2 linked regions of the Callithrix jacchus genome follow. The protein of the gene in region 1 purifies or fractionates together with the protein of each later gene. This does not show direct contact. Links are inferred from orthologs where the notes say so. Each region holds a gene or a part of one and is shown on either strand. Other genes may lie near its edges.

Evidence for each region. The genes of interacting proteins can lie anywhere in the genome.
Region 2: the proteins of POLR2J (region 1) and RPRD1A purify together in Homo sapiens (affinity purification with mass spectrometry; 3 studies listed by BioGRID and IntAct, with this or other methods). This does not show direct contact. The link is inferred for Callithrix jacchus from reciprocal best matches to the Homo sapiens genes POLR2J and RPRD1A.

Annotation. Positions count from the first base shown.
Region 1 is NC_133503.1:11,370,940-11,377,404, reverse strand, and holds the start of POLR2J (DNA-directed RNA polymerase II subunit RPB11-a), read right to left. Parts: upstream 3,749-6,465; 5' UTR 3,677-3,748; coding exon 3,624-3,676; intron 1,014-3,623; coding exon 924-1,013; intron 1-923. UniProt on the Homo sapiens protein: Core component of RNA polymerase II (Pol II), a DNA-dependent RNA polymerase which synthesizes mRNA precursors and many functional non-coding RNAs using the four ribonucleoside triphosphates as substrates.
Region 2 is NC_133514.1:79,116,181-79,121,954, forward strand, and holds part of RPRD1A (regulation of nuclear pre-mRNA domain-containing protein 1A), read right to left. Parts: intron 3,800-5,774; coding exon 3,670-3,799; intron 1,143-3,669; coding exon 1,036-1,142; intron 951-1,035; coding exon 853-950; intron 1-852. UniProt on the Homo sapiens protein: Interacts with phosphorylated C-terminal heptapeptide repeat domain (CTD) of the largest RNA polymerase II subunit POLR2A, and participates in dephosphorylation of the CTD by RPAP2.

The DNA.
Region 1 (6,465 bases):
TGGACTCCGGGGAGGAGTCCTCCATCCCTGTGCCTGGGCACACCTCTCACAGCCTGGGAAAAGCCTGGCTTCACTGATGGCACCAGAGGGAAGAGCCAAGTCTACAAGTGAAATGACAGTCACATTCCTAATCAACCACCTAGCTAGGACTTCAGTGGTGTAAAGGAACACCCATGAACCAAGGCCAGGCACCTGTCTGGCACTGGACAACCACAGAACTCCCCTACCTCTTTCCCTTGTTAAACACAAGTTCTCATCTCTGCCACATACATCTTAAGCGTGCCAGGTGGCACTGAGGTCACAAATAGGGGTGGCATTGGGGGAGCTAATCTTGACTGCTGCTCAGTGCCCCTCAGCCCATGAACACACAGGCCTACTCTGCTGGAACCTGCTCTCACTCACTCACAGAACGTGCACTTAACAGTGAATGGAAGGCTGGGTGCGTGGCTCATGCCTGTAATCCCAGTACTTTGAGAAGCCAAGGCAGGTGAATCACCTGAGGTCAGGAGTTCAAGACCAGTCTAGCCAACATAGTGAAACCCCGCCTCTACTGAGAACACAAAAATTAGCAGGTCATGGTGGCCAGTCCCAGCAGGAGAATCGCTTGAATCTGGGAGGCAGAAGTTGCAGTGAGCCAAAATTGCGCCACTGCACTCTAGCCTGGGCAACGAGCAAAAACTCCCAAAAAAAAAAAAAAGTAAATGCACGTTTGTCTACAGAATAAGCCACTACAGAAGCGTAGCTTATGTGAAGACATGAAGGTCAGCGTCATTTTGATAAAGTACCAACATTACCAAATGCCCAGAGCAAGCCCCCAGAAGGACTTCCTGTAGCTGAGAGATGGAGGAAAATCTTAAAACTTCTGTTTTGCCCAGAGGCGCCTATTAAACATAGCCCCTGAGAGCCTTTGACGGGAAACTTACGATTTAATGATGTTTCCCAGTGTGTGGTCTTCTTTGTTGATGGTGAACAAACAGGCATTGGGTACCTTGGTGTCCTTGTTAATGGTGATCCTAGGAAGACACAGAGGCCACAGATGAGGGACAGGGGCTCCCCTCCGCCCACCCCAAGTCTAAACCCTGCCTCCTTCGGACCAGGTGCAGTGGTTCATGTCTGTAATCCCCACCCTTTGGGAGGCTGAGGTAGATGGATGACCTGAAGTCAGGAGTTCCAGACCAGCCTGGCCAACATGGTGAAACTTTGTCTACTAAAAATAAAACCCAAACTGGGTGTGGTGGTCCATGCTTGTGTTCTCAGCTACTTGGGAGGCTGAGGCAGGAGAATCACTTGAACCTGGGAGGAGGTTGAAGTGAGCCAAGATTGCGCCACTGCACTCCAGCCTAGGCAACAGAGCAAGACTGTCTCAAAAAAATAAAAATGAAAAGCTCTGCCTCCTCCTGAAGACCTTTCTCAATCTCTTCCTCCCATAAAGACCTCTCCAGCCTGATTCCCTACCCCAGGTCTGTGGAACCTTGGCCCTTCTCGGAGTTCCTCCTCTTGTCTTTCCTCTCCCTCTCTTTTAGAAGAGATGAGGTTTTGCTTTGTCGTCCTGGTTGGTCTTGAACTTGCCTCAAGTGATCCCTCCTGCTGCCCAGGCTGGAGTGCAGTGGTGTGATCACAGCTCACTGTAGCCTCCAGCCTTAGCCTCCTGAGTAGCTGGGACCACAGGCGCATGCCACCATGCCTAGCCTGCTCCTTTTTTTCTTTTGAGATGGAGTCTTGCTCTGTTGCCCAGGCTGGAGTGTAGTGGCACAATCTCGACTCACTTCAACCTCTGCCTCCCCAGTTCAAGTAATTCTGCCTCAGCCTCCTGAGCAGCTGGGGTTACAGGCGTGTGCCACCATGCTCGGCTTTTTTTTTTTTTTTTTTGCATTTTTAGCAGAGACGGGATTTCACCATGTTGGCCAGGCTGGTCTTGAACGCCTGACCTCGTGATCCAACTGCCTGAGCCTCCCAAAGTGCTGGGATTACAGGCGTGAGCCACTGTGCCTGACTGCCCCTTTTTTCTAAGGTAGTTTCTCCATGTTGACACCACAGACGTTTTAGGCTGCATGATTCTTTCCTGTGGGGTGCTATCTTGCTGGACAGCAGCAGCACCCTGACCTCTATCCAGTAGATTCCAGTCATAACCCCCTTTGACACCATAAATGTCCCCAATTATTGCCAAATGGTCCCCAGCTGAGAGTCTGCTCTAAAATGAGGCCAAGCCCGGTGCACTGGCTCACACCTGTAATCCCAGCACTTTGGGAGGCAGAGACGGGCAGATCACCTGAGGTTGGGAGTTTGAGACCAGCCTGACCAACATGGAGAAACCCGGTCTCTACTAAAAACACACAATTAGCCGGATGTGATGGTGCATGCCTGTAATCCCAGCTATTCAGGAGGCTGAGGCAGGAAAATCACTTGAACCTGGGACATGGAGGTGGAGGTTGCCGTGAGATCACACCATTGCACTCCAGCCTGGGTGGACAGAGTGAGACTGTCCAAAAAAAAAAAAAAAGGCCAAACTGGCCGGCAAGGGCCAGACCAAGACCTCTGCACGCCAACCTGGGAACAGTAAGAGCCAGTGGTTATGAGGTCTTCCAGGTGCCGAGCTTTAGACCAAGTGCTTGACACAAATTACCTCATCCAATTCTTTTTGAGACAAGATCTCACTCTGTCGCCCAGGCTGGAGTGCAGTGATGCGATCACAGCTCACTGGAGCCTGCAACTCCTGTGCTCAAGCCAGCCTCCCAAAGTGATGGGATTAAACGCGTGAGCCAGCGCACCTGGCCAAATCCCATGTTTAAGAACAGTAATAGACCGGAGGCCGTCACTCACGCCTGTAATGCCTGCACTCTGGGAGGCCGAGGCAGGAGCATCAGCTGAGATTGGGAGTTCGAGACCACACAGGCTAATATAGAGAAACCGCGTCTCTACCAAAAATAAGAAATTAGCCGGGCGTGGTGGCGCATGCTTGTAATTCCAGCTACTCAGGAAGCTGAGGCAGGAGAATTGCTTGCACCTGGGAGGTGGAGGTTGCAGTGAGCCGAAATCGCGCCATTGCACTCCAGCCTGGGCAACAGGAGCAAAACTCCGTTTCGAAAAAAATGAAAAGTAACAAATCCATTTTCCAGAAAAGGAAACAGGGCCTCCAAAAGATCACGGCACTCGTACAGATACAGTCGCTAAGTGGGGGACCCAGGGGCCAAGCCCAAGCTGTCTCTCCCGGGGACTCCTTCAACCAGCAGGCAGCAAGAAGCCACTGCGGCTTTTACACAGGCCGTTGGCAAATCAAAGGACACGGGGGATGGAGGCGGCGGGCGGAAGACAAGAGAGGAGGCTGCCACGTCCCAGAGGAAGAGGGCTATGGAGAGCCAGACACTCTGGGTTCGAATACAAGCCCCGCCACCTCCTCCGTGTCTGGGGCAACTTGCTCCTCCGAGCCTCAGTGTCCTCATCTGCCAAATGGACACACTCGCCACTGCCTCCCGGAACTGGCTTAAATTTGGCCGACACAGGCCGTGCGGACTATCAGGCAAAAGCTGCTTCCCTCCCGGAGCAAGACATGGGCAGGAAACGCCCCCGGAATGCGACAGTCGCAGCCCCGCAAACCTCGGCTCCTCCCAGCTGGCGTCACTTACTTCTTCTCGCCTTCGAAGAGCAAGAACGACTCGAAGGCTGGAGGGGCGTTCATACTCCTGCCGCCGCCGCCGCCGCCGCCGCCGCCGCCGCCACCACTGCCGCGTCCAGACCCTAAGCGTCCGCTGCCGCCGCCTCCGAAGCCCTAGTAAGAGGCTTCTTCCGGATTACTCTGGCGGGTCAAACTAGCGTAGGGACCAGCTCATCGCCCCCTATTGGGCTGGAGGATCTTGCGCAGGAGCGAGAAAAGCCCGAGCGAGGCCAGTACCTCTGCGCCTGCGTCAGTATGGAAGCCCCACCCCCCCAACTCCCACCCCCTCACCCCCTCGTGGCTTTCAACGTGGGCGCTTTTTGGCGCATGCTCAGAGCGCCGGGAGGGCTGCTCTGCCCCTCCAGAGATCTCCTAATCCTGACTGAGTGGAAACCCCAAGCTGTGCCTCTCTGCTCCCCACGACCCTTGATCTCGCTTTGCAACCGTGCACCCCCTTGGAGTGCACAGCAGGAGGCCCCTGAATAGAGAGAATAGAGCTAAGGGGAATGGGCAGCTGCGGCTGGCAGCCGTGAGGGGAGCTGAGGAAGGTCTCGTGGCCAGAGGCAGATCTGTGCTAAGCCCCCTGCCGAGGCTGCCTACACCGACTGCTGTGAGACCCCTGGCTGGGATGCCACTGGCTTGTTAGAAGGGAGGGACAGTTGGGTGACGGATGGGGAAGGAGGCGGGTGTATACAGCAGTGAGAGGGAGCTCGGAGGGTTATGTAAATCTTTTTATATATTATTATCATTTAGAGACAGTGGCTCACTCTGTCGCCCAGGCTGGAGTGCAGTGGTGCCATCATAGCTCAATGCAGCCTCCAACTCCCGGGCTCCGGAGATCCACTTCAGCCTTTCAAGTAGCTAGGACTTGCAGGCACGTGCCATCACACCTAGCTAGTTTTCTTTTAAGAGTTGGGGTCTTGCTGTGTTGCCCAGGCTGGTCTTGAACTCCTGGCTTCCAGCAATTCTCTCATCTCAGCCTCCCAAAGGGCTAAGATTGAGCCACTGCACTTGGTGGATAAGTCTATCTTACCTTTTGGTTTGGCTGTTTTGCAGACTACAGTTTAGCATAAAGGCCCTCCTTGAGACGGAGTCTTACTCTGTCGCCCAGGCTGGAGTGCAGTGGTGTGATATCAGCTCTGTCGCCCAGGCTGGAGTGCAGTGGTGTGATACCAGCTCTGTCGCCCAGGCTGGAGTGCAGTGGTGTGATATCAGCTCTGTCTTCAGGCTGGAGTGCAGTGGTGTGATATCAGCTCTGTCGCCCAGGCTGGAGTGCAGTGGTGTGATATCAGCTCTGTCGCCCAGGCTGGAGTGCAGTGGTGTGATACCAGCTCTGTCGCCCAGGCTGGAGTGCAGTGGTGTGATACCAGCTCTGTCACCCAGGCTGGAGTGCAGTGGTGTGACACCAGCTCTGTCGCCCAGGCTGCAGTGCAGTGTCGACATCATAGCTCACTACAGCCTCAAGCTCCTGGGCTCAATCCCACCACGGTGGGAGGCTGAGGCAGGCCTCCCACGAGGTCAAGTCCTCCTGCCTCAGCCTCCCCAATAGCTAAGACCACAGGCAGACACCACAGCACCCAGTTATTTATTTATTTTTTTTTTACTTTTTGTAGAGATGGGGGGGGGGGGGTCCAACTTTGTTGCCCAAGCTGGTCTCAAACCCCTGGCCTCAAGTGATCTTCTCACCTTGGCCTCCCAAAGTGCTGGGATTATAGGCATGAGCTCCACCCCAGCCACACACGCCATGCTGATTTGTTACACGTTGGCTGTAGTTGCTTTTGTGCTACGTGGCAGAGTGGTTGTGACTCAGAGCTGCATGCCTGGTCCTTTACAGAAAACGTTTGCTGATCCTAATCTCAGGGATTGTGGCTGTGTTGACTTTCCTGCTTGTTTGATTACAGCCCAGACACTGAAGTTACTTATTAACTTGCAGTTTCTATCCCATAGAAAAGAAAACTTCATTAACTGGTTCGTATCTAACATCACAATCTTTGTCTGGGTTGCTTCTCTTAAAATGCTTACTGGCCAGGCACAGTGGCTCATATCTGCAGTCCTAGCTCTTTGGGAGGCTGAGGAGGGAGGATTGCTTGAGCCCAGGAGTTTGACACTAGCCTGGGCAATAGAGCGAGATCTTGTCTCTACTACAAATTTTAAAAATCAGCTGCGCATAGTAGTATGTGCCTGTAGTTCTGTTTACTTAGAAGGCTGAAGCAATAGGATCTCTTGAGCCCAGGACGTCGAGGCTGCAGTGAGCTATGATTGCACCACTGCACTCCAGTCTGGGTGGCAGAATGAGACCCTGTCTCAAAAAACAAAAAAACAAAAAAAAACTTACAAATACATGAAATACATGTACCCAGATTCTCAGAATCATACATGATTCAGAGTTCCCGAACACTTCTGAACTGATGTGTAATTGATCTTTGATGGGTGTTCATTCTATATATGAATCATTACTATTTTTCTTTGTATGTATTTGAAGTTATACTTTGACAAGGCTTTGTGTGGAGGCGGTTGCTGCCAATCTGTTCAGATTTCCAAAGAGGTTGAGAGAAGCAGGCACTGGATGAGCTGGGGCCCCTCAGGGCTTCCCAGGGTGCCTGCTCTGTGGCGAACACCAGCCCCTGTGCTGCAGATAGCTGCCTGGGGGTCCAATCAGATCATCCAGACTTCTGGGACTGGGCAAGGTAGCTCATGCCTGTAATCCCAGCACTTTGAGAGGATGAGGTTGGCAGATCACTTGAGGTCAGGAGTTCAAAACCAGTCTGACCAATATGGTGAAACCCTGTCTCTCTCTACTAAAAATTAAAAAA
Region 2 (5,774 bases), on another chromosome or scaffold:
TGAGATCAGCCTGGCCAACATGGTGAAATCCCATCTCTACTAAAAATACAAAAATTAGCCAGGCATGGTGGCACACACTTGTGATCCCAGATACTCAGGAGGCCAAGGCAAGAGAATCACTTGAACCTGGGAGGCAGAGGCTGCAGTCAGCTGAGATCATGCCATTGCACTCCAGCCTGGGAGACAGAGTGAAACTCCATCTCAAAAAATATATATCCATAACAAAATAGGCATGTCATATTTTATTTTAAAAAGAGTCTGGGCCAGGCACGGTGGCTCACGCCTATAATCCCAGCACTTTGGGAGGCAGAGGAGGGTGGATCACAAGGTCAAGAGATCAAGACCATCCTGGCCAACATGGTGAAACCGTCTCCACTAAAAAAAAAAATACAAAAATTAGGTGGGTGTGGTAGTGCATGCCTGTAGTCCCAGCTACTCAGGAGGCTGAGGTGGGAGAATCATTTGAACCTGGAGGCAGAGGCTGCGATGAGCTGAGATCGTGCCACTGCCCTCCAGCCTGGTGACAGAACAAGATTCCGTCTCAAAAAAAAAAAAAAAAAAAAAGAAACAATCTGTTTAAATAGCTGAAATCTCACCACATGTAACCATACTTAGCTACTAAAAATCCTCGTTCTATGCAAAATATGATTTCTATACAAAATATACAATATACAACATATTACATTTAAAATAATTAATTTGTTGAGCAAATAAGAGATATGCATGTGGCTTTCTTGTATCCAAAAGCATAATAAAAAAATCAATTTACAGAAGTGAAACGAAATTAATAAAGTTTGGAGGCGTAAAGTAAAGTAAAAGTTTCTAACTAGTTTAACAGGGTAAAACTTCTACCTGTGGTGGTTCACTTGGAGATCCCAGAGAGGAACAGTTTTCATTTTCATCCACCTTTATCTGTTCGTAAGTTCGCTTCCTAGGCTTCTTATCGCCATCTGAAATGAAAGAACATTTAAGTTTGAATGAAAGAATACATTTTAATGAAGAGATCAAGATAAGAGATTAGGATTCTACACTTACACAGAGCTTGTTTAAGTTGTTCTAATACATCATTTTCATAAACAGACCTTTCCTCCCAAATAGACAACACTCTTCCAAGGTGTTTCTTACAACTTTCATCAGTTTCACTAAAGAAAAAGAAAAATATTAACAGTAAAAATGCATAGTGCTATTGAAAAGGTAATGGTAACTTTAAATACAATCAGACATTAATTCCCTGAAGAAAACTGTCCAAATGTCTACTTAGCACCACTATTGTGGCCAGCAGTTCAAGAGTTAGGTCATCAAGACACACTGCTTGCTTCCAGTAAACATTTTATGAACATATTATTAAACAACCAAAAAAAGTTTAGGCTATAAAAGTTTTAGTACAGGCTACTAGGGATTTCCTAACCTAATGGGGGCTGGACGTGAGGCTACAGAAGACTTCTAATAGGCAATTTTTAAATTTATTCCACAAATATTTGTTGATCTAGTTACTATCTTTGATATGGAGATGTAAATGCAGCTTATGGCAGCTGTTATTTATAAGTATCACCAAAGAGAACAAAGTGCTTAAGACAGACCTGGCCCAGTTTAAGAGATATCTGGAAGAGTATTTAAGGAAATGATATTTAATTTGAGATCTAAAGACTGGGCATATGGGGAAATGAAAAACAGACTACTCCCAACCGTTTCCTACCTCATTCATCCCTATCATTGTAGACTGAAACACTATTATCTCTTGCTTGGATTCTTCTAAAGTCTTGTCATGGATCTCCCAGTCTCTTCTTTTACTCTGTTCTGTACAAAGCATCCTAATAATATAAATCAGATTATACAGCTCTCGAGTCTCCAAGAGCTACCAATCATATCAAGAATAAAATCAAAGTCCTTACTCTGGGCCATAAGGCCCACATGCTCTGCCTCCTGGCAATCCCTCAGTACACACTACCTAATACCTTTTTCCGTACAAATCTTCTTGCTAAGGTCCTCAAACATGCCCAGGCACATAGCAATCTCATTTTTCAGCCACATATTCTGCCTAGAATCCTTTCCACTTAGTCAAATGGCTCATTTCATCCCTTCCATTAAGTCTTTGTTCAAAAGCCACCTTCCCCAAATAGCTGTTCTTTATCTCATCACATAACTGAGCACCCTCATACCATCTAGTTCCTTCCCTGCTTTGTATTTCTTGCTAGCATTTGTCATCTGACATGATACTATATATGCATTCACTTGTCTATGTACTTACTACCTTTGTCATCCACTGAAATTTAGGCTCCAGCAGAAGAGAACTTTGTCTTGTTCACTATTACTCAGGGTTTTGCATATAGCAGGCAGCCAACAAATATTTTATTGAATTCTAGGGAGGGGCAACATATATAGAAGCCTTATGGCAGAAAGAACTAAAAAAGGTTAATTTAGTTTAAACGGTAAACTACAGACTGTGGGGAATAAATGTGAGACAGGAGTCTGGGGAGATAGGCAGTGCCACAAAGGAACATCTTAAGTCTTGCTCAGGACTTTAGACTTCATCTCTAAAACAAATGGGAACCACTCAAAGGCAAGGAAGTATGACCAGCTCTGCAACTCTGTCTAGTTTTCTAAAGAAATTAAACAGTACTAAAGGCTATTGCAATTAATCCAAAAGACATTATGATAACTAAAAGGGAAAGAAATCCAAAGAATTGAGTCAATGTGTATCATACAAGATACGTGGAGTAAAAGAGAAAGAAGAGGTTGAAAATAACGGAATTTCTTGCATAGGCATCTGGATAGATAGAGTTGCCATTCATAGAGTAAAACCTGGGGGAGAAGCAAGTATGGCAGGAAGCAAAGACATAAGGAGTTCATATTGGACACAGTGAGTCTGAGATGTCTGAGTTGCATACAAGTAAAAATGTCAAAAGGCAGTTGGGCACATAGCTTTGGAACAACAACAAAAAATCTGGACTGGAGCATAAAACTATAAATCATTAAAGCATGGAGAATAACCAAATACATGCAGGGTACAAAACCACCCAGAGGGCAGGTAAAGAATAAACAGGCCGACGTGGTGCCTCATGAGGTCAGGAGTTCAAGATCAGCCTGGCCAAGATGATGAAAACCTGTCTCTACTAGAAACACAAAAATTAGCTAGGTGCAGTGGCAGGCACCTGTAATCCCAGCTACTCAGGAGGTCAAGGTAGGAGAATTGCTTGAACCCGGGCAGCAGAGGTTGCAGTGAGCTGAGATTGCACCACTGCACTCCAGCCTGGGCAGAGTGAGACTCTGTCTCAAAAAAAGTAAAAGAAAGAAAAATAGAAAAAGTACTAGTGTATATGGAAATATTAGTTACAAGACTGATAGCTTTATAAACACACAAATTTTTAATTCAATACCTTCATTCATTTTTAATGAAGTTCATTCCAATATAGCAGTTGATTCTGATCTCTTAAAGGAAAGCTATAATTCAAGTACACCAAATGCCCACCTTAGCAACAGTTCAAAAAATATTTTTCCTTCATAGAAGGCATTTAATAGATTTACAAATTTAGAGGGAAGCCTTTTCAAATAAAAGTATCAAAGAACTATATTCCCTGCTCTTTATTTTAATAGCTTAAGGCAAATTAAGCAAAAGGTCATATGGTACATTTAAAACAGATTACTTAACACCCAAAACAATGATCATACCTTGAAACATGCTTAAAAGCCTCCACTATAACTGGTGCAAAATCTTTTGTAAACTCCGGCCCCTTCCTTTTGCTGTTCTGTATGACATCATTGGCTAGGTAGAGAAAAGTAAGCTTCCTGTTTGGTTTGGCTGAAAAATAAGAAAAAGTTAAAAATCTACTTAAAACATCTTCGCTTGGACAAATTTTCTCAATAACTGAATTAAGCATTTTGAGAACTAAAATAACCCTACTGAACTTCATGCATCAAGTTCAACCCTATTCTCTCATTTTATTACCAAACTAACCAAAGTCACTGCTGCTAAACTCACCAGAAAGACTAATGTCTATGTATAAATGCATCTTGTTTACTCTATCCTGTATTAAATTTCAGTAAAACTATTACAAACTATATGAAATATAGTCATTTAAAATAAAATGATGATTGGTCACGTTATTAAGATGGCACCCTAAATCCTACATTGAATTTAGGACTGTTTTAATAGCCATGTTAATTCAAAATCATTATTAAGCTGTTGTGAAACAAAAGAGCATGAAATGTAAAACAGGTTGCAAGAGATGTCCCCTTAATCAATTACATATTTTTTGTTTGTGCAATAAATATTTGCCAAGCTAACAGATTAACTGTTAGGAAGAGTAAATGGGCACAATTTGGATGTTTCCTTCTTTAGATTACATGGTCATTAACTTTAAACTGAATTCATTGTGACAAAATTATTCCGCTACTCACTATGTTCTGTGGGTGTAGTAATTTCTCTAATTAAGTGGACAAGATTTCGAGGTATATTTTTACTGGTTACAATGTTCAACAGCATAGTAGTACTGAATATGACTCAAGATTATACATAAGGAAAACAGTGTTGAATATAATCTTTTATACTATTCTTATATTTTACTAGAATTAAACTTGAATCACTCAGTGTAGTACAATTACATTCAGAAGCATCATACCTTGTGGCATCCATATTACAATGGTGTAGGAAACTTATGGTCAGAACCAATTATGCAGTATCATATTAATGTCGGCTATCTTAATGGATTTAAGACAAAAATCTTGGTCAGGCTACATGTGGTCCTCTGGATATTAAGTATTCATTTTATAAACTTAAGCATTCAACATATTAGAGTTACCTCTCAGTTCACATCATTCTTGAGGGGGCAACTAGAAACTCAACCAACCCATATACTAAGTCACAACTGATCAAACATTACAAACCTGTTCCGTGCCACTGTACATTTAACCTGGTTTGTCTGTTTAAATTGCTGTCTACCAGTTTTCACACTTTTGAAAGTTCCTTGCAAGGAATAAAGATAAGAGATGGCAATAACAGAGAACAACTTCTGGTTTTGAGGCTCCTTGTCTGGTTAGATAAACCACAGAGTATAACCGGTTAAGATGTCAGGATCCTTTCCTAACATTCAATCCTGTCTCTTTTTTACCCATCCCTGTCCTCTCAATCCCACCCACAAAATAGGCTGGTATTATTCAATCCAGGTTTTTGCCCTCTCAGTGTCAAATGAGTTTAGAAACTCAAATTTGTATTAATTGGGAGACTGCCTGCATTACTTTTGAATGGGTACCTGAACAAACGGGCTCCTCTGACTGTACTTTTACTATGTGCTACACCCTATTCTAAGCACTTTACATATAGAATCTCATTTAATTCTAAAATGTAAGAAACCATTATTGTCTCTACTTGGCAGCTGAACAAAGTCTAAAACATGATTTGCCCCAAGATAAAGAAGGAGAAAGGAATCAGCCAGGACTGGAATCCAAAAAGTCTAACAGCCAAGCAAATCCCTGTTAACAACTAGACCATGCTTCCTGTCACAAATGAAAGGGCATGTTAACCTTTTGAGACTCAAAACTAGCAACTCAAAAGAAGTAAGAGAAAACAAAATGAAACGAAACAAAAAGTAGCAACTCAAATAAAAATATTTTGCAATGTTAGCAGCATTATTCACAATAAGCCAAGAAGTAAGAGCAACCTAACTATCCACTGATCAATGAATAAACAAAATGTGGAATATATATTCAATATATTCAGAGTATTATTCAATGTATTCAAAGTATTATTCAGCCTCATAAAAGAAGGAAATACTGAC